Linked DNA regions of Pelodiscus sinensis. The protein of the gene in region 3 interacts with the protein of the main gene of each other region in a pairwise test. Links are inferred from orthologs where the notes say so. Each region holds a gene or a part of one and is shown on either strand. Other genes may lie near its edges. The genes, in order: WT1, ASB7, HMBOX1 and ABITRAM.

Region 1 (7,698 bases), on a different chromosome or scaffold from region 3:
ATAATCAAACCCTGATCAGCTCCCTGAGTGAAAGGAGACAGATCCCTCTGTTTGCACTGAACAGCGTGAACAAAGATCGGGATTGCTGGAAATTTATCTCTGTTTAAGTCATTCTCCCCCACCCGCCGAGCCAGGAGCGGATCATTTATGGTGCTTAGTAAAGCGTAATAAGAATGCTCATCCAGGAATTGGTAGGATGGAAGGAAGAAAAATCAGAGGGGGAAAGCCCACAGAGAGGAAACGCTGCAGCAGCGTGGATAGTTAGATCCCCAAACCCATTTTGCCGGGGCGCTCTGCTCCCGAGGGCTGGAATAATAAACACATCTGCACAGTCTGAAAGCACTTTCGCAATTCGTTATGGAAAAGTTGGAAGGGAGATTAAACCTGCGTCCGGGGTTGAACCCATTTCTAAGCACGGGAGGGCTGCGTGAGGCCTGGTGGGAATGGGGCACTGAAATGATCGCTCATCTGGCTCCAGGGGCTTTCACACCTTCCGCCGAAGCAGCTGCTCATGGCCACTGTCCGCGAGACTGGCTACTGGACTCCATGACCGCAGGGCTGACCCGGTCTGGCCTGTCCTCTGCTGTGTGAGGCCCAGGGACAAGGTTCTGAACTATTCTAAGTTGGGTAATTCTGCGGCGGCAGTGGAGTGACTCCTGATTCACACTGGTGTGAGGTTAGACTCAGGCCTCCGAATGTTTAAAAATGGGGCGGCTGTAAACAAACCTATATTTCAAGGCTCTTTTTGGAGCAGGGAAGGTGCCTGGCCCTCTTCTCACAGGGAGCTTTGCGCCTGAGATCTGAAAACGCACTTGGGAAAGACTCGTTTCCTTCAAAACACACACACACACACACACACACACACACACACACACACACACACACAACACAGTTTCCTTGCAATCGCTTTCACTCTGGAAAGAAGGGGGCTCTCCGCTCAGCCGCTGTGGATGCATGTGCTACCCCCTTCCTGAGTTATCGGACACACTCCCGCCCTTGACATTTAGCTCTTGTGTGAAAACAACTGCAACAATAACCGGCAGCTCTAGCAGAGGTATTTTTAACCTGGGGCACTATTGAATGTGAGGAAATAGCTGCAAACGGTGGGGATGGCGAGTTACCAGGGGCTCTCTGTGATGTCCTCGCAGATATTTTCCCTTGATCATTGGCAAGGGAGGCTAGTTGGCGAGCAAATTGATTTTTTTCCCCACACAGTCTTTTATTGGCGTCCTTGCTTAGCCCGGTAGTAGAGACAAAAATAGAAGTTTCCAAATTGGTATATTTGTGCCTTCGCCCTATGGGAGCGTTTCCTGATACATGCCCCTGAATCTGGCTCTTTACAAAAACTGTTTAAAAGCGATGGCTTGATAGATTCGGGAAGGTGTATGCTTCCCTAGCCTATAGCCAGCCCGTGTCTACTTAGCATTGCAGCTGAGGGCAGGTGACACTCTCTTAGGGACTGTGTGTAACCTGTGCCAGTCACAGCAAGGGACATTTCCGCTCCTCTCTCCCCATTGATCTGTAATAAGACATGGTTTAACTAATTAAACTTATTTTGGAGGGTACACGTTGACTTGTTTCCCTACGCTCAGTGTCTGTTCTTAGCTGGAGCGGGTGCATTGGGTATAAAGACAGAAGCAAGGTGCTGGAATTTATTTGCTCCTTGTTTGAATGTAAAGTTTGTTGTTCATTTGATCCTATCCACCTGATACAAGGGAAGATTTGGAAATGCTTTCTGAGTCTTCCCGGCTGTCTGAATAATGCAGTCCTGCCTAATGAGGAAATTACTTTTCCAGTTCCCTAAAACGTCCTGAAACTTCAACAACGCAAACTACTTACTAAAGAACAAGATAATCCCCTTTTCGGAAGACGGCGCTTGTGCTCAGATCCCTAAACAGACAATTGTCGAAGAAAATAAAATACTAGATATTAACAGCTCAAAATGTTCATTCCCACCTATGTTTTGTAATATCTAGCATTGGAAGTTAGTTAAATTATAAAGCCCTTATAAACATCTTAAAACAAGCCAATGCAGTAAGGACTGTAGCCAGAGGAATATTTACCTTTCAATGGCTCAAAACCGCTACTCCAGCTATAGGAACAAAAAGACATGGTTATAGTTTTTTCAGTACTCGTTAATTTGTACCACATTCGGAAATAGAAAAGGGGACAGAAATAAGAAAAAACCCCAAACCAATCAGTGCAATCGAAGCTTGAACCACCTCGATTCCCTTGAAAGAAAGAGTTCTAATTGCATAAGCAATTTTCTGGGGCTAATACCAAACCGTCCTTTTTAGTTTAATCCTCACTTAAAAATAAACCTTCACACCTAAGGCGATCTTTGATTATTACAACAGCAACATTTCGCTGATTGCCTCTGCTTTAATATCTGTTTCCTTTTCGAAGTAGTAAGACCAATTTGCTGATTTTGAATACATTTGTTTAAAGTTATTTCGAAAATCATGTAGTCTAACCACTTAAATAATTAACGCGACTAAATGTTGTAGTTAAGGGAGAAAACAAATTCAGACCCTCATCCTTAACTACAATTATTTGCATCACATTGGATTAGTTTAAAACATACCATCTGAACTCATAACTCTTAGTGATCACTTCTGATGCTGTGGGGAGGTGAAGGATTAAAGAGAAAGTTGCTATGTAAACTACAAATTCGTTTTTACAGATAAATGCTAATTGCAGTTCGTTGAGATTGTAAGGAGGGTTTTTTTTTATTTGTAAGTTCCCGAAGCAAAAGCGTGTAGGGTGGGTGTTCGAGTGAGACTGCTGCATTTTGTTTAATATTCTAAATGTACCATAGAGATGTTTATGTTATATGCAGATTGAATTATGCGGAGGGAGGGGATGCAAAGTACACCGAAGGCGTGGTTTGGATGGGTTTCACTTCTCGTGGAATATACATGCAATATCAAAATATGCCTTCGAGGGACTATCAGAACCCAGTTTATATGAAGCAGATGATTTACTTTGAAAGCAGGAGGCAGCCTTACAGGAGTCCCTATTTCGTGTTTGGAAAGAGAATCCGTGCTTTCAAATCCGAACAAACTACCATCCCTTTATTGGCTGATCAGGGCAGAGAAAACCAACGCGACAGACTGCTGGGAGACGGAAGGTGGGTTTGTATCGGTCTCTTTCCCTGCTGCAAGTGTCTGTTGGCCGCAAACAAAATCCATTTCCATGGGAGAAACTGCCGCTTGTCCATCTCGAGAGGAGGGGAATTGGAAAGAAATTTCACACGGGGGAGAGTCAGCGGGTGTTTGCAGCCCATGCTTTCTAATGACCTCCCTCCGCGGTAAAGACTTGATCCAAAGCCCATTCAAGTCAATGGTAATGTTCCCCGTTCATTGGAGCGGCCTGTGGATCAGGCCCTAATTGTTCATAGCCCCGCAGTTAGGATTCCACTCAGCACATCTCATTGCCAAGCGGGACCGGGCGAGCTAGAGGCAGAGCGCGGAGCTGGAACTAAGGGGGGCGGGGACTGGACATCTAGCTAGGGCAGGTGCTAGCCTCAGCTGCTCGTTAGCGCCCTAAAGCGTGCGCTACAGTGGGCCACCGCCCTGCGAGTCGTGGGACAATGTCAACTGGGGGTCTGCCCGGAGAAGGGGCAGGCTCGCTAAGGGCCGCTCTGGCATCGCGCCTCGAAGCCACCCGCAAGCCCTGCTTTGCTGGGGATCCTGGGAACCCCGGCCCTACGCTAGCCCCGTGTGGGGGAAGGACTTGTCCAGGGCGGGGAGGGGTGCGCCAGGTGACTCCTTGGGAAACAGAAGACGATTAGACGGTCCGCGTTAGGAATTGTGCACGGCTCGGAGGCGGGCTGCCTGGCCGGACCCTTCCCGGGGGGGCTGTTTCATGAAAACGCCGGTTTGCTTCGCAGGATTCGGATCATCCGTTTAAAGAGACTGACTCTCGCAGGCCTCTGAGCCCTGGCCAGCCAGTTCCAGTCCCTTCCTGCGCACCCCGCCCTGCGAGCGTTTCGCGTTCATAGCTCCGCTCCGCTTCAGCTGGGGCTTCGAGAGAGTTTCCCACCGCCATCCGCGCACGCTAACTCCCCACCGAGCCCCGAGAGTGTGTCCCGCTGCGACGTGCGGGGAGCCATCTCCCCAGTGCATGGACAATTCACTCCGACCCCCCCCCCGCGCTAGGCGGCCCCCCCAAAAGCAGGCCCATTAGGTGGTCCCCTGCCGGGCAGCGCACTTACTGGAGCCAAGTCCGCCGGCCTTGCGCGCAGTGGCCGCTTCCCCTCCGCAGGGGCGTTTCGTTCCGCTGGGGCCTTTGGCCACGAGAGACTTGCGGTGACAGGACACATGCCTCTGCCTTTCTGGACATGTCCTTGCTTCGCGCCTGCGGCTCGTCCCAGCCCGGCCCCCGGTGAGCCACACGCGCGCACTGACGGGCCACCTGGCGCCCGCTCACCCGCCGCTTGCCGCCGACTCTCGCTCCCCAAGCCCGAGGGCGGTCCGGGTTCAATGTAGCTGCGTTTGCACCACGGGGTGGAAGGAAAGCGCAGGGGAGAGCGCGCCCCGCCAGCCCCCCCTCCCGGGCTCTGGCTTGGCGCAGCGGGCTGGGCTTGTGTGAATGGAGCATCAGAGCCCCTGACTCCTCCTCCCGGGCAAGCCCCGCTATTTGAGCTTGGGGAGGTGGAGGGCGAGCGGGCAGCATCCGAGTAAGGTGCTGGAGGCGAGTCCCGCGGCTCTTCCCAGCCCTCTCTCCCGCTGCTGTCGGAGTAAGCGGCGACCCTGGAGAACAGCCTTGCCCTGGCGCTGCTGCCGGCTCCCGCGGGGCTGGACCCGGGCGCTTGTGTTCCGGAGCAAGCTTCGCCCAAGGGGCTGAGCTCGGCAGGCTGGTTCCTGCAGCCGGAGCCGGGCTCCGGCGTGGCGGGCAGGGGGCAGGTGGCCTGGAATAAGTGCGGCCCCGGGGGGGACTGGCTGGCCGGCAGGAGGAAAGTTTGCGACCAGATGGGGTCCGACGTGCGGGATATCAACGCCCTGCTCCCCTCCGTGTCCTCCCTGCCGGGCAACAGCAACTGCAGCATGCCCGTCAGCAGCGCCGCGCAGTGGGCGCCCGTCCTGGACTTCCCCCCGGGCGCGTCCTACGGCTCGCTGGCCCCGCACTCCTTCATCAAGCAGGAGCCCAGCTGGAACGGCGCGGACCCGCACGAGGAGCAATGCCTGAGCGCCTTCACCGTCCACTTCTCCGGCCAGTTCACCGGCACCGCCGGCGCCTGCCGCTACGGGCCCTTCGGCGCCCCCGCGCCCAGCCAGGCGCCCTCCAGCCAGGCTCGCATGTTCCCCAACGGCCCCTACTTGCCCAACTGCCTGGAGAGCCAGCAAGCCATCCGCAACCAGGGTAAGACCGGGCGGGGGCACCGGGCGGGGGATGGCGAATGGGACTCTCCCGCGTAGGGCTGCCAGCCTCACAGGCGCGTAAACACAGCCCGCCGGGCAGCAGCTGGGTCAGGTAACGCTGAACCTCGCGGGCCGCCTCCTCCTGCAATTCAATAGACCACCACTACCAGACACCTTCCCCTCAGGCTTCCGCCGGGGCTTGGTGTGTCCCTTTGGGCCAACATTGATGGGACCGGTTCTGCCAGCCGGGGCTCTGCAGGAACTTCCATTGCACCCCGGCTTAAACCGGGCTAGCCATTCGCTCGGCCTCTCTTTCGAATACTATCTGAAGTGGCCTTGCTGGTCTGCTCGCTCTTCAGCCGAGTTCCAGTTCAGCTTCCCACTTAGCGCAGGTGGGTGGTTCGCTCTCGTAGCCCGTGAAACTTTCCGCTTGCACAGCTTTGTGTTCAAGTGCGACAGTCCAATGCCGGGCAAGGTGCTCGAAAGAACTGATTTCTAATGTCTCTGGTATGACGTTGGGATGTATCCTAAACTGCTAATGCGTCGTACATAAGTCGCTTAGGTTAGAATGTGCTTTTAATCTGAAGCCCTTTTATTTGTTTAACTTTTAGAAACTGTGAAATAACACGCCCACTTTCCCCTCTTCAGTAATCAGCGAACTGTGGCATCTCCCATAATTGGCAGATATTTAAAAAATAAACCTCCGAACTAAGCAAACATTGGGATAAAATTTAGATATTCTCAATGTGGTGTTGTAATGTCATCTCCGACAAAGTAATCCCTGTGGTATTTCCTATTTTCAATACCCATTTAATTTACAAACATTAAATTACCAGAAGAATCTTTTAGTAGAAATTCAGCAATCCATATGCCTAGAAAGATAGCTATAATCTAATCATTTTCCTTCAATCTGCTGTAATTTAAATATCAGCAGACGTGGCCGTGGAAGGAGGATATACCAAGCAACATGTAATAAAGTACTGCCTTTCCCCCCTTTCGAGGAAATAAATGCGTCTTTTTTATTCTATGCGCAATTCTGTCCTGGTGAAGCTGAAGGCTTGCAATGGCTCCTCGATTAAGAGTTTCCTCTGTTAGAGGTACTTCATCTAACCAACTACTAATTAATTGTCTTAAATGCATCTCAAAACTCACCGGAAACCTAACACTGGGAAAATAGAATTATAGGTGGGACACCCGTGAGCTAATGAGAGCTTTTAAGAGACACTAAATAAGGCCGGATCGGGTTTTTAGTCAGACGGAAGAGACTTTCAGGCCGGTTGCATGATTTCTCAACGAACCCCTCCTGAGCAAAGGTGTTCTGTCTGCCCTGCACCAAATAGAGCTGTTGCCGCTGCGTGGACACAGACGCTCAGGAGTATGTGTGTACACCCACAAAGTGTGCGTGCGTGTGCAAACACACACACACCTGTCAGCTTCAAGAAGAGAGTTTCTTCTGCAGAAGGAGTGCAATATTGGCAGGGCCGAACCGCTTACCTTTTCAGGTGCCTCGTTGTAATGCAGATTGGCGGCCCATCACCCCGATAAAGAAACGGGCCTTTCATTCGTATTTGAATTGCGTGGAATAGGCATTGGGGAGGCAGAGTTAAGGCTGTGCAGAAAGATGAAGTGTTTGAACCTCATCATTTACTACCTAATTATTGTAGCCACTGCGTTAGAAAAGCAGTCCCGAAACCCAAATGCGAAGCTCGTTGAGTCTCGAGCAGTAAACGTAACGTGTCTCTGAGCTGTGTTCATGTCCTTGATCCCCAAAGCAGTTCAAACGCCTTGTTATTGAAAAGCGATCTCTCGAGTAACTATTGGAATTGTCTGTGGGGGGGGGGGGGGGGGGGATGGCAGATTTATTTGAGAACTGAGCGTGTGCGCGCGCCGAAGGGCGTTTTTGTTATTTTTATTGTTTTTAAAACACAGAATACTGGGCAGTGGAGTAGCCGGGGGTACCGGAGTACCGCTACTCTCCTTCACCTTATGTACAATAACGCTATGGGAAACTTAACCTTTCGTGATTTGCAAACTGAAGAGCATTCATCTTTCCAAATACCCGCTCTGGGTTTTTTGTTTGTTTTATTCTGGCTTTTTTGTAGTTTGGGCTCGGCTAATGTTGGACTTTTAATGTTAAGCCCTTTTCGCACAACCTACGGTCTCCAAAGAAGTTATTCTATGTTTGCTTACGTTTCAAATTATGTCTGCAATGTTCCTGGGGTATTCCAGGAAACAAACAACCAAACAAACAAAACTGAAAGAATTGGGGAAAGCGAGCCACTTCTAAGACATAGACAAGGGCAGTATAGCTAGCAAAAGTTTTTTTTCTTACATT
Region 2 (7,462 bases), on a different chromosome or scaffold from region 3:
CGCTTTGTTTTTTTATTTCCCCCGGTGGGTAATTGAGATTTACCAATGCTCGGTAGAGATCTTGAAGTTTCTGATCTCTGTCAGTGGGATTAGAGCAGATGCGATTGTACCTAAGGGCCTGACTATAGACCAGTTTCAAGTTAATATCCAAGTTTTCATACCCCCTACTCATAACTCCAGTATCTGAAGAAGTGGGCTGTGCCCATGAAAGCTCATGATACCATCTACATGTTTTGTTACTCTATAAAGTGCTACGAGACCATTGGTTGTTGTTTTTTTTTTTTAAACACATTATAAAGACAGCTTCCCCACTTATCACCCCTGATTAGCCATTCATTGACTTATAAACAGCTATTCCCTTCTTCCCTTCCTCCCTCTCTCCCCACCTTCTGTTCTAAATCTGATTTGTCAGTTTAATAATGTGTTCACTTTTTTCACAGTATTCCTTTGGTATATATGGTCATGCCAATTCTCTTTCAGAATATGATTTGAGGAAGTGGGTCTGGCCCATGAAAACTCAACGTCTATTAAACCATCTTGTTAGTCTTTATAGTAGTACATAGTTTTTCCTTTTGTCTTAAAAAAATGGAGATTAATGACCAGATATTGCACATAAGCTCAATGGGAGTAATATGCAAATACTGAAAAAAATATATAAAAAGTTTAAAAAAAAGACAATCTTTCTAAAAGTGTACCAAAGGAGTAAAAATAAAGTTTTCCGCTACCAATTTAGGAGAAAGACTGGATGGCTAAGTATGATTCAAGGTAGTTGCTAACTGTTAGCCATCCAATCTTTCTCCTAAATTGGTAGCGGAAAACTTTATTTTTAGTCTTTTTTTTTTTTTTTAGTTTTTTATTTTTGTCTTTTTGGTCTTTTCCCTCCACACACACTGCGGGATTGCTAGCTCCCCTTCTCTCCCCCACACACAAACTCTCTGGGGATACTGCCTTTCCCCCAGCTCTGGGGCTGTTGCCCTCCTGGTTCTGGTGCTACTACCCTCCCTCCAACTCTGGGGCTGCTGCCCTCCCTCCAACTCTGGGGCTGCTGCCAGGGGACCGGGAGCCAGAACTGGCAGGGGTGGCCTGCTGCTTCGGCTACAGCGGGAGCCAGGCAGCAGATCACTTCTACAGGAGCTGGTGGGGACGGTCGGCCTGTGTGCAGGAAAGGCAAGTTGAAAATCCCATGATAGACAGACAAGAACGGTGACAGCTTAATAGAAAAATTGTCTAATAAGAATTGGTCCCTCACTTTCATAAACAGAATAAAACAAAGCGTATGTAACTGCATTAGTTAACATCTACATTTTCCAAATTAGTCTCTAATTCTGGGTGCCAAACTCCAGAAGCCATAAGCCTGATTTCTAGGGCTGCTAAAATATTAGCTAGTGGTACCCAGCATATATATAGTACTTTTTAGCTGAACATCTCAAAGTACTTTCCAAAGATAGCAAATATTCCCATTTTATATATGTGGAATCTAAGAGATAGATGGATAAAGTGATTTGCTAAGGTTATGTGGCAAGTTAGTGACAGATTGAAGTATATAATCCAAGTGTCCTGACAGTGACTACCATAACTAGACCATATTGCCTCTGAGGCAGAATCTAAAATTGGGATTGGAAGATAAGACAATCCACAATGGACTATAAACGTTATGGTAGCATGCATTTTTTTACATAGACATCCATGTATTTTTGAGAATATCCTTCCACAGCACTTGTTGACTTGCAGTTTTAGAACCTTACAATGTTCCTCAACCAAATTTCAGTGAGGCTACTGTAGGGACCTCTATCAGTTCACAAAGCCTGAACTTTAAATATTAAGAATAAATCTGATACTTCAGGCTACATATTTACCCTTCATTTGTGGAATATACTTTGAATTCTACCTAAGATAGAAAATTATCTGAAAACTCATAAAATTTATTTGTGACTATTTTATACAACACACTTTACCTAAACAAATACACATACATTTATTAATACACTCAGGACCAAACTGAATTACTTCCCTAAATGTTAAATGAATGGCTCTCTTGTGTACCAGTTAATACAATGCAATGAGGCTGTTAGGGTGAATCAACTTTAGAACTCTTCTAGGACTAGCACTATGAAATATTATCTTTCCAATACACTAGTGCTTGCACTTTCCCAGATTATATATTTTACAGCACCATTAATTTACATAGTACTTTACCAAACTTCAATAAACCATGCCACTTGTTTCAAAGACCTCAATCTAAAATAGATTAAAAAAATATAGGATACCAGGTCAGGAAAAAGTGAGTGGTGATCATTACAAAGTGGGACAGGATTGCTTTAAAAGATAGGTTTTAAAGGGTGAATTTGAAAGAAGAGATGCCAGAGGACAACAGAGATATATTCAACTATAGTAAGACAGCATGGCAGATAACTAAACAGGTGAGGAAGGGAGTAACAGCAGTATGACAGTAGGGATATGTAAGGAATAATGTACTCCAATTATATCTAATATTATGGCAGCTCCTAGAAGCCAATCAACAGAACGACCCAGAATAAGACACAATCCCTGTGATGACGAATTTGTAATGTAAACAGACGAGACAAAAGATTGAGAAAAAAGAGATATAGCTTACAAGCAGCATGAGTAACATAATGATTGTCAAACATCATGTAAATTTCATTACTGTTTTGGTTTGATTTAAATACAAATCACAGGGGTTGATAAATAAGGATTACCTAAATAGAAAGCAAGGGAAGAGAGACACTAAAGGAAAAGAAGGGAAGGGATCAGAGAAGGAAGCATGGAAAATAGTTTATTTGAGGCCAATAAATTTTGAGGAATACCATAAAACATGTAAGTCAATGGCTAGTCACTAACTCCACAATATCTCTAAAATGGAATTATGAAGTCAATATACATTTTCAGTGTGGAGTACTTAAGCTAAGTCCTATATACAAAAATCCATCACTCATTTGATAGTGACTAACGAAACAGTTGTTTTCAAATCACATTATCTTCTACATTCTCAGACTACATCTTAAGTTGCAAGTGTTTTTTTTTATTACAGCTGACATGCAGCTGGATGGTATATTATGACTCACATAATACAATTAGCCAAAAAGCATGTGTTTCTCACAATCATGATTAAAGGAAAGTCCTGTTAAAACACTATGTTTGTTTTACTTTCAACTTCATTAAAGTAGATCATATTAAAATACTATTGCATGGAAAGCTTCTCTCTTTAATTGCGGTCTTCACAAACAGAAAACAATGGTGGTTGCAACTCTGATGTATGAAATATGGGGCATGAGGATTCTCTAATTTCACTGAAAGGCTTTTGTTTGCGTCAAGGAAGATCCACACTTAAATCATGAGGTATAAACTAAACTCTGGCTCTCTTAACTTTGTATGCGGGTGGAGAGTTGGGGGTTTTTAGCTTATAGGCTTGCCTTTAAAAACTGTTACATTTCCGGTCTCTGCGTGGGAATAAATATTTCCAAGGTAAATCACAGTTTGACCTTCCTGTCTGTGCAAACACTTTCCACCAATTGTGAGGTGTGAACCATCTGCTGTCCTGATGGTCTGCAGTGTCGTTATAGATGGGCTGATTCCTAGATAGGAAACACAAGGTGGGTGACGTCATTTCTATTATTGAACCAACTCCTGTGGGTGAAAAAGACCACCTTCAAGTTCAAAGTTTAGACAGACCTGTTTTTTCCAGGTCTGGGAAACCAGCTTGGAAGCTGGTCTCGTTCACCCACAGAACATTGGTCCAACAAACTGTATTACCTCTCCCACCGTCTGCCTCCGGATTAGAATTTAGAATGTCACTTTTTCACGGCTGGTCCTTACAGAAGAAAAAAACCAACCACCCAGCCAATATCCTTGCTGAGCAGCGCCATAATTATCAGCACACAGTGGGGGAAATTGCCTCACTCCCCCCCCCCAGTGGTTTTCATCCTCCAGCCCCAAAACGTGCAGGCCACATCGGGATGCGAAAGAGCAGAGCCAACCCCCGCCCCCAAAGGCTGCGCCTCAGCTCCCCCCGCAGCGCCGCCTCCTGCTTCCCACACCTCCCCTCCCCCTTCCCCTTCCTCGCACCCTCGGCCCAGCCTCCTCACCCCCTCCCGCCAACGCCTCCGGGCTTCCACAGCCCGGCCGCCAGCGCAACCCCCTCCTCCCGGCCCAGCCGCCCTCACCGAGCCGCCTCAGGTCCCACGCTCAGCCATCGCCGCCCACCCAGGGCTGCTAGGCAACCGCCTCGCTTTACCCGCCCTCCGGAGACGGGGCGCGGGAGGGCCCACTTCTCCCAGGACAAATTCGAGCGCAAGCAGCCCTTACCGTTAGCTGTCGCAAGGGCCCCCCCTCTTCCCACCCCGCTTTACGGCACTGGGCGGGGAGATAAACGGAGTCACCCAACCCGGCGCGGCGGTGGTTTACGGCTCGGGGCGGAGCTATGGCGGCGGCAGCGGATTGGCTGCGGTGGGGGTCAGTCCCTGCCCAGTGACCCCGGAGTGAGGAGGGGGGCGGCTCAGTCAGTGTAAAGTGTCCCCACAACGCCCCCGGCTGGGTCTGCGGCTCCCCCCACTCCTGAGCCAGTGCCAGTGGGGGGAGCGGCCGCGGAGCGACCGCCGGTCCCGCCCCCCTCAGGAGGAGACAGGTAACGGCTGAAGCCCGCTCTGTCCCGAGACCCCGTCAGGGGGGCGCCTGCCGCGGGAGCGCTCCACCCCCGCCCCGAGTCTGCGCCCCCTTCCCATGGGACTCTGCGGTGTGTGGGGGAGGGGGATAGTCTGCAGCCCCGTGCTCCTCTGAGACTGGGGGGGGCACTAGCCCATCCCCCCCGGACAGGGTCTGGGGAGGAGTATTCCCGCTGTGGGGCTGAGGGCCACCCCCCGCTTTGGCCCATGGTTCCCTTGAGACGGTCTTTAGGGGGGGAGGTTATCTCCCCCCACCCGGCCCAAAGTCCCCGAGGCTCTTCCCATCGCCCTCATCTCGCTGACTCTTTCGAGGGGGACGTGCTCTTCGCTCGTCACTATCCCCTGCCCCCGTCATGCTCCCAAGACTGTTATGGAGCAGAGCAAATCTGCCCTATGCCCCTCTCTTAATCCCCCGCCCCCGTCACTGCACTACAGGGGGTTCACGCTTCTCTTTTCCGCTGGTCTCTTTTCAATGCCTCGAAATTCCCTGTTTTGTGCGCTGCTCCCTTCCCCACCTTTCAACCTCTTCCCCACTACTGGGGTTCTCTCAGCAAATTTTTGGAGGCCTCATAGTGTGGCCACTAACTTTTGTGGTGGCCACTATGAAAATTTTCCTTAAAATATTTAACTTCAGTGAAAATAAATAAAAGGTGGAAGATTTATGTGATCCGAAGAGAAACATACACACATACATGTCCAGATCGTTATAATTTATGTAGATTTTTTTTAGACTCAATAATAACATACAGTTGTCCCTATTTTTTACTTGCCCTAAATAAGAATAGAAACAAAAATAAGGGGCTTTGCCTGTTGTTGTCTTTTGTTGTTGTTTTTTTTGCTTTTTTTTTAGTTACAGGTTTTTTTTAAGACTAACTAGCTAGTAAGTTGTCTTTTGTTTAAAAAAAAAGATATTGGTATGTTTGTTAATATCGCTTTTTGCAGCCAATTTATTGGCTAGTTCGGAGGCAGTAAAAAGTTATATTAACTTACAAATATCACTTTCCATCACAGACTTATTCAGCCCTGGTAGGTGAAGGATAAATTAAGCCTTGAATGGAAAGGTGGGTAGGGAGGTAGCAAGGACTGGGGTATTGGTATGTATGTATAGGTGAGCGGCCAGTGACTGCAGTGGGAGCTCAGGGTAATGGGGGAAGGCAGGGGAGAGTGAGCCCAAAACTCAGTAGCTGAAGTCCAAAACCCAACCAGTGTCTGTGCAGCCAAAGTCCAGAAACATGGGTGGAGTCCATGACGAACCTGCTGGCCTGTGGCCACAACCTGTGCCTGCCCCTTCAAGGCTGACACTAGAAGCCTGAGCTCCATCACACCTAGGAAAGGGGGGAAGTCGCACTGCATTTCTGCTCTTCTAGAGTGCATATCTCCAGGGCAGGGCCCAACCCCTCCTTTTGACCCCCTAGAGAGGAGTTGTACCTTCCCACTCCCCATTTTTCCAATCACCAGCTAGGAAGCTATGAGGGTAAGAAAACTTGTGTTGGCCACATTTGAGAAATGATGCTGTAGATTTTGGTTAGGCCGTAAAAGCCCATTTCTTGATCTTAGATGTTTCTCTAGCCATCCACCATTACTAGGCGTATGAATGTTTAACCAGTAGGGGCTGGAGCAGCTCCTGGACCCACTGCAGATTGGCTGCTCTGACTGGCTGTTCAGAACAGCCCCTGTCTGTGGTGGGCCCGGCCCAGGTGGTGCACCACAAACGGGGACTGTTCGGATCAGATGGCCAGTCATAGCAACCCTTGTTTGTGGTGGGTGGGCTGCTCCAGCCCTAAACAGTTAACCAGTTAAACATAATGTTTAACCAGTTAATCAATAAAACCGAATTTTACATTCCTAACCATTATCCTAGGATTCTGTTCTGGACCATCTGTGTTGCGACCTCAAAACCATGCCTGGTAGGTAATCTTCTTCTCCGAGCCCAACCTTTGTTCCTCAGAGGTCCCCAAGACTTTGTTTTTTGGTGAGGACTTGGGGACAGTTACCTTCCTGCTTTTTCTAATTCTCCAGAAACTCTGATTTTTTCTGTTATTTTCTGCCTACCCATTAATGTTCCTTGTTCCTTACTTCAATTACAATGAGACCATACTTTGAGAAGAATCTCTTGCTGGTTTTTTACCCACATTAAAACCCCAAATATTCCATATGGTTCACTCCTTCTTTTCAGTTTCCACTTTGGGGAAATACCCTGTGCTTCCTTTCTCTTCATTCTCCCTACTTCAACCTTGACAGTGTTTTGGATGCTAATTCCCTTTATCCTCCACTTCTCACTCATCTAACAGTACTAACTCCCTCTTTTCAGGCTCAAGCTGACTCAAGGGAGACTTGCAAACTGGGAATGCAAAGGAGAAGATACAGACTGTAAGAAAAATTGAAAGTGGCACTCAGTATAAAGGTGATAATCCACCTTCATTCTTATCTTGTATCCCAAGCCAACCCTGCATGTCCACACAAGCTTGTCTGGATGCTTATGGAACCCGTTCTTATTGGCTTTCTTGACTGATTTTATGTGAGTACCTAGGATTAGATTTCCCTCTTAGGTGTTTTTTTTTGTGGGTTTTTTTGGGGGGTTTTGGTTGTTTTGGTTTTTTTTTTTTAGAAAAAACAATTTGCTCTTTGGCTTAAAAAAGTAACAAAAATTTGCAGTATAGGGAATGAACTTTTTCCCTTTTCTGTGTCTTGTTCTGCACTTTGCGTTCTCATTTGATAAAATAAGCTCCAAACATTTATTTACTTTTTTTGTAGGTTGCAACTTCAAGATCTTTTTGTGGCTT
Region 3 (7,531 bases):
TTGAAATCGGAGAGATAGCTCAAACTAGAATGCGGTCAGGACATGAGGGTATTCACTCCCCTACTTGTGACCTGTAATGACCTCAAGTGGTCAAGATGTCAAGATTTTGGTTTTACATCAAAAGACATTAGGTCTGGCAGCAAAGCATCTCCTTTTACATTATTTACATGATAAGTATGGCCATAATCACTTTACATATTGAAAGCACTTCTCACAGACATTTGAAGAACTAAATTGATTAAAACTGATTTTAAAAGCTAAGTTTATTTTTTAATAATTGATTACATTTTACTCTGTAGTGAACAAGGTAGATTTGTCAATTTCACTTTCTAGCTCTGACTCTGTTAATTAGCATAGGACTGAAATGTTTGAGTTAAAACTCGAGGAGAATGTATGCATCCACCTCTAAAGAAGCTGAAATATCATGGAGACATTTTCCTTATTAGATTTGTAATTGCTTAAGTACTCAACCATATGCTTTTGAATTCTGCCTTCTGACACCACAGCTTTAAGAGAAATCCTTGCAGTGCTGGAGCTTAAAGTGCATGCAGTGATGATTAAGTCAGTGGAGCTAATCCCGTGAAAAATTAATCACATGAATAAGTCCTTGTATGACTGAAATCGTATGTAACTACTGCCACAGACCCAGCAAGTGGGAAGAGATGTGTTGGAAAGACAATATAATTTTCTATAGGCTTTAATTAAACAAAGGCATTACAAAATTCAGCAATTAAGTGTTTTAAAATGGGTATACTACAATCCTCAGTGTTCAAAACTCTCTTGTTTTTAGAAAACAGGGTTATGTCCTTGATTTCTCTTGACTACATGGAATTCCCCCCCTTTTTTTCTTTTATGACTTAACTCAGTGTCCTGTATGATGTTAAAATAATGTAAGTTGTAGTATATTAACCTTTTCAATTTATTTCAACAAGATCATAAATTATTATTGCTTAAAGCTCATTAAAAACAGACCAGCAACATATCCCAAATATTGTGTTCTTGGGCTTGTCCAACTGGAAGGTCCAGTTTGCTATTTATTTTTTCTTCAGTTCTCTAAAAATGCAATTACACCCATCCAAAGCTCTTGGTATCTGTCCCATTAATTAAAGATCATAACACATGAACCACAGTTTGTCCACAAATATATCCACCTATGACCTCTTCAACAACCTTAGAGAAGAGAGAAAGAGAAAGGCTTTGAAAAGTATGTGGAAAATTAACACATCTGGGATTTGGCAGATCAAAGCAAGCAGCAAGCTCCAAATCAACAGACTCCTCACAGAGAATGCTCCACCATTTTATTTATGTTGAGTATGAGTGACTCTGCTGACTTGACATGTGGCAGTTTGGCAAGGGAGAGAGACAATCGTGCAGGGAACAAGGCCTCAAGCCATTCAGAGACTTATAGATTAAAATCCAACACTTCAAGTTTTATCCATAAACCAGTGCAGATTGTGCACCAGTGCTCTAAAGTTATGGATCTAAGCTAGTTATAGGCAGTATATATACAATGGAGTTTGCTGTTGGATTTGCCTTTATAATGGTCAGCAGCAGCAGCAAGAGCCTGAATAAAAGCCCATCAAAATCAGAGGTCATCATTCCATTGTCTTCACTGGGCTTTTGAGCAGGTGTCCATTGCTTAGGACTGGTGTGGATTTATTTTTGTCTTGTTCTTCCATATTTAAAACAAATACATGAGGGTCCAGGATGAAATTGCCAAAAAACCTGAATATCCCTTGTGACCTAAGACAAAAACCCAAGAAAAAAGAGCTACATAAGGACAGACAGGGTCAGGCCAAAGGTCCATCTATCCCAGTATCCTGTCTTCTGACAGTGGCCAATGCCAGGTGCCCCAGAGGGAATGGACAGAACAAGTAATAATCAAGGTATCTATACCCTGTTGTTCATTCCCATTTTCCAACAGAGGTTAGGGACACCATTCCTGCTCATCCTGACTAATAACCACTGATGGACCTGTCCTCCACGAATTAATCTAGCTCTTTTTTGAACTCTGTTATGGTCCTCCTCCGGCAAAGAGTTCCACAGGTTGACTGCGCATTGTGTGAAGAAATATTTCCTTTTTATTTGCTTTAAACCTGCTGCCTATTAACTTCATTTGGTCATGCCTAGCTCTTGTGTTATGAAGAGTAAATAGCACTTTCTTATTCGCTTTCTCCATATAAGTCATGATTTTATAGACCTGAATCATATAAACACTTTGTCAAAGGGTGTTGTGAAGGCTATTAGCCAGGATGAGGTCCCTAGCAACTGTTTGTCATAAGCCCCATGGGCAACTGGGAATGGATAACTTGGTTATTCCCTGTTCGGTTCATTTCCTCTATGGTGTCTAGCATTGGCCACTGTCGGAAGACAGGCTACTGTGCTAGATGGAGCTTTGGTCTAGTCTAATATCTGTTTTTATGTAAAAGTCTGCAGGTTTGGTACCTTCATCTACCTCTCCATAAATTCATTTTACAGTGATAAATTAAGCCACAGTGAAGGTAAGTGATTTTCTCCTAGTCACAAAACAAGCCAGAGATGGAGTCAGAACCCACAGGAGTTGCACCCCACAAGTCTGTGTCGTATTATAATACACACTTTGCCTGTGGGAAACTACGGTCATCTGAAGAAGTGGGTTGTGCCCACGAAAGCTCATGATACCATCTACATGTTTTCTTAGTCTATGGCTACATCTAGACTGGCATGATTTTCCACAAATGCTTTTAACGGAAAAGTTTTTCCGTGAAAAGCATTTACGGAAAAGAGCGTCTAGATTGGCACGGACGCTTTTGTGCCAAAGCACTTTTTGCGGAAAAGCATCCATGCCAATCTAGACGCGGTTTCGTGCAAGAAAGCCCCGATCGCCATTTTCGCCATCGGGGCTTTTTTGCACAAAACGATTCTCAGTTGTCTACACTGGCCCTCTTGCACAAAAGCATTTGCGCAAGAGGGTTTTTTCCCCGAATGGGAGCAGCATTGTATTTGCGCAAGAACTCTGACGATCATACCTTAGATCGTCAGTTTTCTTGCGCAAATTCAAGTGGCCAGTGTAGACAGCTGGCAAGTTTTTCCACAAAAGCAATTGCTTTTGCGGAAAAACTTGCCAGTCTAGACGTAGCCTATATGTTTTTCTATATGTTTTGTTAGTCTATAAAGTGCTACCAAACCATTTGTTGTTTTTAAGTTGATCCTGTACAGACGAACTTGGCGACCCCCCTAAGCTTCTGTTTTTCAAAGTAAGCCAAAGTCATCCACCTGTAAAGACTGTATCGCTCCAAGTTAAAAAAAACCCTCAGAATCTGGGTTCACCCATCCTGGGAGTGGCTTAGGGTCTCCAACTTTCAGACGAGGAGCAGCAGCATCTGATGATTTTCAGTGTGGGCCCCCCGACACACACACCCACCCCCCACCTACCCACACACCCACCCCCCTCCTACCTACACACACCCCCTACACACCCCCCCTACCCACACACCCACCCCCCTCCTACCTACACACACCCCCTACACACCCCCCCTACCCACACACACACCCCCACCCTCCCTACCTACACCCCCACCCCCCCCTACCTACACACACCCTACCTACCTCTCGGCAACACCCCCCCTCAAAAGCGTCCCCTTCTCTACCACCAACCCCTTCCTGCCCCTCAGCTTCTCACGTGGAGCCTCGCCGCGCCCGGGCCAGGGGCTGCTCCAGCCCCGCCCACCATGGTCAGGGGGCGCGCCGGCCCGGCCAGAGGAGCCCCGCCCGCAGGAGGACGGTTAACCGGTTAACCGTCGCATCTGAACGGTTGACGTTTGAAACGGGGCTCTACCTCCCGGAGCGCGTGGCCGGCTCCTTGACCCCCGCGCGGCAGGGCCTGGCCCAGTGGGCCCCAAGCCCCCGTCACAGTTGGGGCCTTTGGAGCCTCGCCTCACATACAGAGCACGACGCGCCGCCCCGGGGCCTGCCCCCGCTAAGTGCCTCAGTTTCCCCAGCGGTGGGGGGAGGGCGACCCCACGCTCCACCAAGGCTGAGCCCCCCCTCAAGCTCAGTAGACTCTCTAGGGCCTACTGCGTAGCCATGGCAACCAGGCCTGGCCTGAAGCCCAGAGGCAGGACCCGCCCCCATGCCCGGGACGGGAGCGAGGGGGGACCCTTCAGCCCAGCCCCCCCAAACAGACACTAGCTCCACAGACTCACCAGCTTCATGCTTTACCCGGCCGGCGCTATTTACTGTGACCATCCGCCCCTTTTCCTGCCCAGCCTCCCCCGCGCAGAGCATCATGGGACTCGTAGTCCTCTTGCCGCCGCCCGCCCCTGCCCAGGATGAAGTCATGCCCTGCCACCCCTTCCCCAGGTGCATCCTGGGAGTTGTAGTCCCTTCCTCTCCCCAGCCCCTCTCTCCGTCGGCGCGCCGTTCCGGAAGGGCACGCTGGGAGTTGTAGTCCTCCTGCCTCGGCTCTCCCCTTCACCCAGGGGAGGGGGGAACTACAAGTCCCAGGGCTGCGCAGCGGCGGCAGGTGGGAGCTCGGATGTTGATATCAACATGGCGCTTGCCAGACAGACAAAGACAGTCAGTCTGGTGTGATTGAGCCAAAAAAAAAAAAAAAAAAAAAAAAAAGGAGCAGGGGGGAGGGGGGATTTTCTCTTGGGGGGGGGCCGGAGAGGGGGGATTGGACGCGGAAGGATTTTCACCCCCATTGCTCCCCTCCCTCTGCACCCCCGTTATTGCCCCCCTCACACTGGGGCTGGGGATCCCCCACTTGCGCTCTTCCATGGTGAGGTGGAGAAGGGACCAGCGTCCAGAGGTGAGTGTTGCTGGGCGTGGGGGACCGAGCTGCTTTGGGAGGGGCATGGGAAGGGTCCCCTGAGCTTGAGCTGGGCCTGGCTGGGGGAGTTTAACCCTGGGATGGGGGGGAGCTTCCTTGAGCCCCTGGAGCACAGGCTGCGTGAGGCGGATTTGGGGGTGGCAGGTCCCCTTGCCCTGTGCTGGGTTTGGCGTTGGTGGAGGGGGAGATCCCCTTAGCCTGTGCACATTTTGCTGGGAGAGTTCAGTAGAAGGGATCTGGGTGGCTCCTTGTATCCTTGAAGTGGGGGCAGGGAGGTGTCTCCTAGGCAGGCTTGTTTTTTTGTTGTTTTTTTTTTTTGCTGGGGGAGTTCAACACTGTGGTTCGGTGGCCGTTTTCTTGCTTTCTTTGAAATACAGGCTGCGAGTGAGGTTGATTTTTTGGGGCGAGGAGGGGTAGATGGGTGGGAAAGGGACAGAATCCTTTTAGGTTGGGTTTTGCTGAGGAGTGTACTGCTGGGATGGAAAAGGCTGGTGGCTCCATGTGCGCTAGAAGCACACGATTGTGGGAGAGCAATGGTGTGTTTGGGAAGTGGGACTTGCACCAGGTTAGACTTGCTTCTGGTGGACTTTTTAGGGTTGGTCCTGCTTTGGGCAGGGGACTGGAATTGATGACCTCCTTAGGACTCTTCCAGCCCTGTGAGTCTATGATGGGTGGTGTCTGAAATTTGTGTGACTATGCACATTGCCTGAAATAGGGGACAGGTAAAGGGAAAGAGGACAGGGACAGATTCTGTTGCTGCTTGCAGGGTGTGTTGGGCTATTCTGCAGGCTGTTGTAGTTTTGCAGGGAGTTGAACACAGGACTAGGTGGGTGGGGTGAATTAGGAAAGAAGGAAGGCACCTTGCCCACTGTTGGGACATTATGGTGATGAGTGCACTATTAATACCTAGATTCTATTCTTGAGACACACAATGTGTGTGGCATGACTGACTTAAGGTGAAAGAAGAGGAGGTTGGTGTTTTTCGCGGAGGAATTTTATACTGGCCTATGAGGAGGACAGGGAGGGTACCTTTGAAACAAATAATATGCCTATGAAAGAACTTGGGAGAGGGAGGGTCCTTGTTAAGAGAAGAGACACTGTGTTGGTAGGGTCGGATGAGTGTGGGTGGATGTAGGGGGATGGCACAGTGCTTTTGTGGTTGTATGTCCAAGACACTAGTGATAGCTTACTACCAAAACAAATCTGCTTGATACAGAAGCAAGAGCATGCATCATGAGGAAGAGATAGGTGAGAATCCTAAGGGGATGTTGTAGCTGATGTGTTCAACACTGGAGGGCGGGGTGGGGGGGGATGGAGTGGACATAAGAGGGTGGCTCCTTGAATGTACGGGAGATGAGCATGGATGAGGTTTTTATTTTGGTTTTACTTTTAAAATGAGGCTCAGGTTTTGAGGTGGGGGGAAGGTGTTAAAATAATATTTATATTTTGTATCTGAGACATTGCTTTGAATGCCCGGAAAGTGCCTAAAAAGATGATGGCTGGAGAAGGTGGCAGAGAATTCTGTTAGGCTGTTACATTCTGTTTTTATTTTTTGCTTTGCTGTGGAGTTAAAAAATGAGCAGGATGGGTTTTTTTGAGGTGTAAGTATACATACAGCAAGGTGAACTGAGTTGGGCTCTTGCACCTCAGTTTTGGGTGGTGAGTTTTGGTGTATAGGAAGGAGTGGTTAAAAGTGCCTCTAAATGTGTCTGCAGGGTATTTTCTTTGGAAACAATTTTTGCATTAGCCCTGAAAAATCTTTTGATCATATGTTTATTTCCCCCTCCCCCTTCAAATAGGGGAAGGAAAGAGTGCCTTTTGGGGTTGGAGGGGAAGAGGAAGTATGAAACATATTCCCACTTCCCTGTCTGTGAAGTCCTATCGACTCAGTTTATTCTGGAGCTCAAGTAACACTGGCAACACAGAGAGAAGTGTCTTCAAGTGCTGAATGCATGTGGACTGAAAGTGGAGGATGTTAAATGTAATGGCCCAGGACATTGAGTTGGGAAAAGTAAGTCTGTTAGGTACTGGCTGTGTGCTCTTGGCTCAATAATCAGAGGGACTAGATAGATTGAACTCATAAAGGAGATGCAATTTGCATGAATGATGCCACCCGAAATAAAGTTGTGTTGTATAAACGGCTTGTGCTAGGCAGTCAGCTCATCTTGCTAAAATCCCGGAGCGCCTGTCTGGATCCCGTGATACCACTAGCTCATTTCTGCAGGGCTCATCAGGTGCAGAAGCCTCTCTGCTTCCTTCCTAGGATGGTGCAGCTGGCATCTGATTTCCTCTATGGATGGGAGAGGAGGAGTCCTGTGCGATTGTTTTTTTCCTTTGAGATGATTGCATTTTCCTTGGCCTCACTGTTCCCTGCCTCATTAGTAGAAACTGCATCTATATTTGTTTACCGCAGGCATGCCAATGGGGATGCCTGGAGTAGCGGATAGTGGGTCTATGTGAATTCATCACAATAACATGTTTATTTTTTCCCCTTCCATTGTTGTACAATTATCTTAGGGGACAGTTCTGCAACAGCAGGCTGTAAACTTCATTTGTTTGAGGTTTTTTGACCCTCCTTTGCTGCATTTCTGAGCTAAATCTTTAAGGAAATGATTGGGGACAGGCAGCACATTACATACACATGATTGGAACTTCTTTAGCTTCAGACAGACTTTGTCTTTGGTTATGAAAATTATTTGCCATCTCTCTGTTCTAGGA
Region 4 (7,240 bases), on a different chromosome or scaffold from region 3:
TAGAATTGCTAATAAAAATGAGCAGAAGTCAAAGTGAAAGGAATCATTTGAATTATGTTTGTTTAAGCTGAAGTATGGTGGCTTTTATAAAGGACTCAGGTTGTCATAAAAAATTGATTAGTTATTCTCTGAAACAGAAAAAAATGCCTATGTTTGAACAATCATATTTTGTTTTCAATTAATCAGACTGATGAAACAGCAATGTTTGACCCTGCCTCTTCAAAATTGCAGAGATACACAACACTAATATTGTTAGGATCCTGAAATACTCACCTCATCTTAGGACAACACTTTTATGCTAGATCGCCAAAAGGTCATAAGGTCACATTTTGCCCAATTAGTATGCATATTTGCTAGATTTCACTCAGTTGGAGAGAGAGAATGTTTTCTCTGGGATTAATTCACAGATAATCTAACTCAGTTTAAGATTAAATATTTCCTGCATGTTTCCACAAGCCATTTTGGGTTTACGTGGGACTCAACACATGGCCCGTGGGTGGGAGCCAAAACAAAAAAGTACTCAATATAATGGTCTTCTGTTTATATGCGTTTTAGTACAGGCAGTCCCCGGGTTATGTACAAGATAAGGACTGCAGGTTTGTTCTTAAGTTGAATCTGTATGTAAATCGGAACTGGCGTCCAGATTCAGCCGCTGCTGAAAGTGACCGCCAGTTCTGACTTACATACAGATTCAACTTAAGAACCCCAAGTCAGCTGCGGCTGAAACTGATCAGCCGCTGATTCCAGGAAGCCCGGGGCAGAGCAACTGTGCCTTGGGCTTCCTGTAGTCAGCGCTGGTCAGTTTCAGCAGCGGCTGACTTGGGGACGCCTGGGGCAGAGCAGCTGGGGTGCTGCTGGGTTGCTCCAGTAGCGCCGCTCCTCGGCGCTACTGGACCTACCCAGCAGCACCCCAGCTGCTCTGCCCCAGGCGTCCTGATTCAGCCGCTGCTGAAACTGACCAGCAGCGGCTGAATCAGGACACCTGGGGCAGAGCAGCTGGGGTGCTGCCGGGTTGGTCCAGTAGTGCCCAGAGTGGCACTGCGGGACCAACCGGCAGCTCCCCAGCTGCTCTGCCCCAGGGTCCACAACAAAAGCCTGGTCTGCTGGGGGGGGGGGGGGAGCACACTAGCTGGGCCCCCCCCCAGCAGACCAGGGACACGGGGAGCAAAGGTGCAGCGGCGGGGTGCCTCGCCTCTGAGGCTTTGCTCTGGCGCGGGACCCGCCGCCGCTGCGGCTTTGCTCCCGATGCCCCTGGTCTGCTGGAGACGGTCCCCAGCAGACCAGGGGCACCGGGAGCAGCTTTTCTCGCCCCGGAGGTCGATGTGGCTGACCGCTGCCTTCGAGCTCCGGGGCGAGAAAGCCCCGTTCGTAAGTCGGGGACTGCCTGTAGTTAAATGTCTGGACTGTCATTGCTTATTAAAAGTGCTGTCATATGGGTAGAAATGGGGTGAATATTGCATTTTATTAATATCAGCAGAACTGACTTACATGGGGCCTGTGTGTTGTGTAGTCTTGCCTTAATCTTTGTCTTCATGCCCAACAATGTGATAGAAGTCATGTAGGAGGTGAGCATGTGGCTGGTGCCCTCCTTTTCTTCTTCCCCAGCAGTCACCACTGAGGTTATGTCTAGGTCAGTGTTTCTCAACCTTTTTTTATAAAGTACCCCTTTAAAAAAAATTAAGTACCCCCACTACCTAGTTTTCAGACACACACATTTTTTTCTACCATTGCAACACATTTGTTTAAACAACTTAATTGTAGCCAGGTGGGTGATGAAATTTTTGGGTGTAAAAAGTACAAAAATAATAAAACGTTGTAAAACTTAAAACAAACATTCAGTTTTCTCCAAATTCAGTTGTGTTGAGGTACCCCCCAGGCTTCTCTCGAGTACCCCTAAGGGTACTCGTACTACTGGTTGAGAAACACTGGTCTAGACTACATCCCTCTTTCGAAAGAGAGATGTCAATTAGACAGATCGAAATTGCAAATGAAGCTGGAATTTGAATTTCCCGCGCTTCATTTGCATAATGGCAGCCGTGCATTCTTTCAAAAACGGGTATTTGAAAATGAAACCACTGTCTAGATGCAGTTCTTTCAAAAAAGAACCCCCTTTTCAAAAGATCCTGTACTCCTCAAAAAATGGAATAATAATTGGTCAGCTTTCAGAATGGAGAGATGTAACTAGTGGTGTCCTACAAGGGTCCATACTGGGACCAATTCTATTCAACATATTCATAAATTATTTGGAGAAAGGGGTGAACAATGAGGTGACAGCATTTGCAGATGATACTAAACTGGTCATTACAGTTAAGTACAAAGCAGATTGCAAAGAGTTTCAAAGGGATCTCATAAAAATAAATGGGCAACAAAATGGCAGATACATTTTAATGTTGATAAATGCAAAGTAGTGCATATTGGAAAACAATCCCAACTATATATAAAATGATGGGAAATAAAGTAGCTTTTTCCACTAAGGAGAGATCTTGGACTCATTGTAGATAGTTCTCTAAAAACATCCATTCAATGTGCACCAGCAGTTAAAAAAGCAAACAGAGTGTTAGGAATAATTTTAAAAGGGATAGGGAATAAAATAGAGGATATCTCACTGCCTCTATATAAATTCATTGTATGCCCACATCTTGAATACTGCATGCAAATATGGTAACTTCATTGTCAAAAAACATATCTTTGCATTAGAAAAAGTTCAGAAAAGGGCAACAAAATGATTAGGGGTATGGAATAGTTGCCATACCAGAGATGAGTAAGAGTGGTGATTTTCAGCTTAGAAAATATGAAGGGGGGATATGATAGAGGTCTATCAAATCATCACTGGTGTGGAGAACATGAATAAGGAAAAGTTATTTACTTGTTCCCATAAGAACTAGGGGTCACCACATTAAATTAATAGATAAAAGGTTTTAAAAAAACCAAAACAATATTTCCTCACACAGACTGCGTCTACACTGGCATGATTTTCCGGAAATGCTTTTAACGGAAAAGTTTTCTGTTAAAAGCATTTGCGGAAAAGCGCGTCTAGATTGGCATGGATGCTTTTCCGAAAAAGCACTTTTTGCGGAAAAGCGTCCGTGGCCAATCTAGATGTACTTTTGTGCAAAAAAGCCCCGATCTCCATTTTCGCGATCGGGGCTTTTTTGCGCAAAACAAATCTCAGCTGTCTACACTGGCCCTTTTGTGCAAAAATTTTGCGCAAAAGAGGGAGCAGCATAGTATTTCCGCAAAAAGCACTGATTTCTTACAGTAGGAAGTCAGTTCTTTTGAGGAAATTCAAGCGGCCAGTGTAGACAGCTGGCAAGTTTTTCCGGAAAAGCGGCTGATTTTCTTGAAAAACTGGCCAGTCTAGACACAGCCAAAATGTATAATCAACCTGTGGAACTCTTTGTTAGAGAATGTTGTGGAGGCCAGGACTTTAACAGGGTTCAAAAAAGAGCTAGATACATTAATGGAAGATACATCCATCAATGGCTATTAGCCAGAATGAGCATGAATGATGTCCCTTATGGTATGTGGCTGTACCTTACACATACACAGCATGTGTGACTGTGTAACATGTACGCAGGGGCAGCCCATGAGCCTAGGCAAACTAGGCAGTTGCCTAGAGCGCTGGCCCGAGCACCCCGTGATGACGTCATGGCCATTGACAGCTGTGCAGGGGGAGGGGGGCGCCAATTGTGTGGCCCGCCTGCTGCCGCAGCTGGCCTCAGGCAGCTCCTGCACATATCCGTGCGTATGCTGAGTGGCTGTGTTACACATAACCGGTCATAGGGTTGCCAGATGGTGTTAACAAAAATACCGGACACACTTGACATTACATCACAATCTACATTACATCTTATTTAGAAAATACCAGACATTTATATTTTCTCAATTTGTTTCCCGAACAGATACAAATACTGGACTGTCCGGTTCAAAACTGGACACCTGGCAACCCCGTGTGTGTGTCTGTGTGTGTGTGCGCGCGCTGTGACTGCTGACCCGTACCCCGTGTGTGTGCTGCGTCACTCTGTACCTCACCTCCCCAGGTGTGACCGGTGTGACACGCAACCACATGTGCAGAGACGACTCGGGGACGCTACCTCTGCGCTACCTCGTGGCTGCCGCGTTGTCACCCCGCTCAGCTCCGGCCGGGGGGGGGAGGGGCGCGCGGCTGGGTGTGCGCGAGGAGACACGGGTTGAGAGGGCACCGCCAGCGGGAAGCGGGCTGGGCAGAGTCTCGCGCGCTGATTGGCTGGCGGTAACCCCGTGACGGGGGGGGGGGAGGAGCGGGCATGGCCGCGGCGCCGGGTGTGACGGAGCGTTACTTCACGCGCTGGTACAAGCCAGGTACCCGCCTCTCGTCACGCGCCGCGGGGGGGTCCGGGCCGGGCCGCTTCCCCTCCCCCCCCCTCCGGTCACCGGCCCCTCCCTGCCCGGGGGCCGAGGCAGCAGCGGGCCGGAAGCCTCGCGCGGGCTTTAGCCGCAGCCCTGGCCGCTCAGTTGAAAGCCCCTCGCCCCGCTTGGGGGGGCGTGTGGCGGGGCGGGCGGCTCTGCGCGGGATTTACGCTCCTTTGGGTGCCTCGGAGCGGGAGCAGCGGGAGCAGCCCAGCTCCCCTGGCGCACGTGCAGGTGCCCTGCTGCAAAAATGCCTTGGGCCAGTGCAGCTGCCTCCAGTACGAGGCTGAACTCCAGCATAAGGCAGCGGGGTACCAGTCTGCCCGAGCCCGCAGTAGGGTTGCAGGTTTCATTATCCGGGTAAGAAAACAGGCCCTGCGTCTACGCTGAGGCAGTTGCTTATTATGCTGACCAGTATTGTCTCATGGGGTTGATTGGACGCGTTTTCCTGTACCCGTCTGTTGTCCCTTGTTTCATACATTGTAAACTTCTCGGGTCTGCAGAGCTGTATCTTTGTTCTGTGTTTATATAGCAGCCAGCACAGTGAGGTGTTGGTGTGTGACAGGGAAATACAGGTGCAGGTGGAACTGCTCTAGTCCAGCATGCTCAGGACCCTACTGGTGCCAAACCAAAGAATTTGCCAAACCACAAAGTCAGTATTGTCTAGTGGCATTATCAACAATTCCACTGTTTACTAGGGATATTAATGTACATGTGTGTACATATACATGATTAACCAATAAGCCTGAGCTCATTGGTTAACCAGCATAATTACATGCACCTCTCTTCCCGCTGCCCCTGTATCAGAAGTGTGGGTGGTGGGAGATGAGAGCCTGTGTTTATGGAAGCCAGCTTTAAATAAACTAGGCAAATACAATTTAGATGGGACTACTATAAGGTGCGTGCACAAGTGGCTGGATAACCAGGCAGAGTAGTTACTAACGGTTCACAATCCTGCTGGAAGGGCATAACGAGTGTTGTGAGCAAGACATGCGAAGTCCTTCCAATTCTACTCTGCGCTGATTAGGCCTTGATTTGAGTATTGTGTCCAGTTCTGCACACCACATTTCAAGAAAGATGTGGAGAAATGAAGAGCAACAAGAATGATTAAAGGTCTAGAGAACATGAGCTACGAGGGAAGACTGAAAAAACTGGGCTTGTTTAGTTTAGAAAGGAGAAGACAGAAGGGACATGTTAGCAGTTTTCAAGTACCTAAAAGAGTGTTACAAGGAAGAGGGAGAAAAATTGTTCTCCTTGGTCTCTGAGGATAGGATAAGTAGCAATGGGCTTAAATTGCAGCAAGGGAGCTTTAAGTTGGATATTAAGAAAAACTTCCTGTCAGGGTGGATAAACATTGGAATAAATTGCCTAGAGAGGTTGTGCAATCTCCATCTCTGGAAATATTTAAAAGCAGGTTAGATAGACATCTGTCAGGGATGGTTGGACCAGTGGTCTCCAACCTTCTTACACCCAAGATCACTTTTTAAATGTCAGTACAAGCCAAGAGCTACCCCATCCCTTCCTCAACACCCCACCCTTTCCTTGAGGCTCTGCCCTCTCAGTTCCTCTTCTCGCCATCACCTGGTCCTTATACAGTCTTAGGGTACAGCTATACTGCCGTTTTTTTTCTCTGATCCTTCTGCTGAAAGAGATTTTTGACATTTGGCCCATCTAAACTGGGCCAAATGTTAGAAAAAACTCTTCTTTTGGAAGCCCCCTTATTTCTCGTGGAATGAGGAATACAGTTGCTGCCAAAAGAGCGTGTTTGCCTAAAAACCTCCTGTAGTCTAGCTGTATCCCCAGTGGTTTGAAACAGGAGGTGCAGGCTCTGGGGTGGGAATGAGGGATTTGTGTGTGGGAAAGGGTGAGAGGAGCAAGCTCTGGGAGGGAATTTGGATTCAGGAGGATGTGGAGAAGGGGATGCTGGCTCAGGGGGCTCCAGGCTGGTAAGTGTTGGGCTCAGGTGGAGGGTTGGGGTGCTGAGCAAGCCACAGGCTTGTAGATGTGAGCGTGCAGGATTTTGGGTTGGATTGTGTGAGGGGCTCAGGGCAGGGAGACAGGGAGTATGATGGGCTCAGGACACAGATTTGCAGTGTGTGAATGGTACAAGAGTGTTGTGGCAGAAGACTGAGGATGTGTGGGTGCAGGAGTTTGGGGATGAAAGGCTCAGGACAGGGGGTTCCAGTGTATGATACGCTCAGATTTGTGGTCTGGGTGGGAGGTACATGAGTGTTATGATGCTGTGGCCAGATGAGGGCTTGGCCCCAATGGGCGGCTTGTTGGCCAGGCTTCATTTTTAAATAAAATATTGTGTCAAACACAAAAAGTTTCAGCATTGTCTTTATTATGAGAGGGGTGGGGAACCTGTTTTGAGTCAGCAGTCACTGACCCACAGAAAAGTCAGTCAGGGCCATGCAAGTCAGATACAAAAACACAACCCCTTCAAACACCTCAAGGCTCACTAATGTGGCCCCAACTGTGCTGGTGGGGGCAGGGAACAGGGTGCTGGGACAGGATGCCAGTGGGTACTGGGGTAGGGAACAGGGTGCTGGGGCAGGGGACAGGGTGCCTGTGGTTGCTGGGGCAGGGGACAGGGTGCCAGTGGGTGCCGGGGCAGGGGACATGGTCTTGAGGCAGTGTGCTAGTGGATGCTGGGGCAGGGTGCCGAGGCAGGGGCCAAGGTGCCGGTGGGTGCCAGGACTGGGTACTTGTGGGGGTCTGGGTGGGGGGAGGGGACAGGGACTGGTACCTGGGGATCCTGCAGCTGCGCGCCAAGGCCTAGGAAGTGCGCAGGCTGCTCCCCCAACCTCCAAACAGCAATGCGGTACCTGAAATGCTGGTTCGTCATGCT

The links.
Region 1: the proteins of HMBOX1 (region 3) and WT1 interact in binary tests that used the Homo sapiens proteins (3 or more experiments, as listed by UniProt). The link is inferred for Pelodiscus sinensis from reciprocal best matches to the Homo sapiens genes HMBOX1 and WT1.
Region 2: the proteins of HMBOX1 (region 3) and ASB7 interact in binary tests that used the Homo sapiens proteins (3 or more experiments, as listed by UniProt). The two-hybrid records come from large-scale screens. The link is inferred for Pelodiscus sinensis from reciprocal best matches to the Homo sapiens genes HMBOX1 and ASB7.
Region 4: the proteins of HMBOX1 (region 3) and ABITRAM interact in binary tests that used the Homo sapiens proteins (3 or more experiments, as listed by UniProt). The two-hybrid records come from large-scale screens. The link is inferred for Pelodiscus sinensis from reciprocal best matches to the Homo sapiens genes HMBOX1 and ABITRAM.

What each region holds. Positions count from the first base shown.
Region 1 is NC_134714.1:97,900,661-97,908,358, reverse strand, and holds the start of WT1 (Wilms tumor protein), read left to right. Parts: upstream 1-4,690; 5' UTR 4,691-4,973; coding exon 4,974-5,364; intron 5,365-7,698. Other genes in the region: uncharacterized protein LOC112546777, read right to left, coding at 4,217-4,677. UniProt on the Homo sapiens protein: Transcription factor that plays an important role in cellular development and cell survival. Recognizes and binds to the DNA sequence 5'-GCG(T/G)GGGCG-3'. Regulates the expression of numerous target genes, including EPO.
Region 2 is NC_134724.1:7,682,603-7,690,064, reverse strand, and holds the start of ASB7 (ankyrin repeat and SOCS box protein 7), read left to right. Parts: upstream 1-4,458; 5' UTR 4,459-4,642; intron 4,643-6,540; exon of another isoform or gene 6,541-6,586; intron 6,587-6,990; 5' UTR 6,991-7,197; intron 7,198-7,462. UniProt on the Homo sapiens protein: Probable substrate-recognition component of a SCF-like ECS (Elongin-Cullin-SOCS-box protein) E3 ubiquitin-protein ligase complex which mediates the ubiquitination and subsequent proteasomal degradation of target proteins.
Region 3 is NC_134713.1:4,737,589-4,745,119, reverse strand, and holds the start of HMBOX1 (homeobox-containing protein 1), read left to right. Parts: upstream 1-4,513; 5' UTR 4,514-4,792; intron 4,793-7,531. Other genes in the region: INTS9 (integrator complex subunit 9), read right to left, coding at 3,662-3,712. UniProt on the Homo sapiens protein: Binds directly to 5'-TTAGGG-3' repeats in telomeric DNA. Associates with the telomerase complex at sites of active telomere processing and positively regulates telomere elongation.
Region 4 is NC_134712.1:144,204,845-144,212,084, reverse strand, and holds the start of ABITRAM (protein Abitram), read left to right. Parts: upstream 1-4,232; 5' UTR 4,233-4,286; coding exon 4,287-4,341; intron 4,342-4,371; exon of another isoform or gene 4,372-4,749; intron 4,750-7,240. UniProt on the Homo sapiens protein: Actin-binding protein that regulates actin polymerization, filopodia dynamics and increases the branching of proximal dendrites of developing neurons.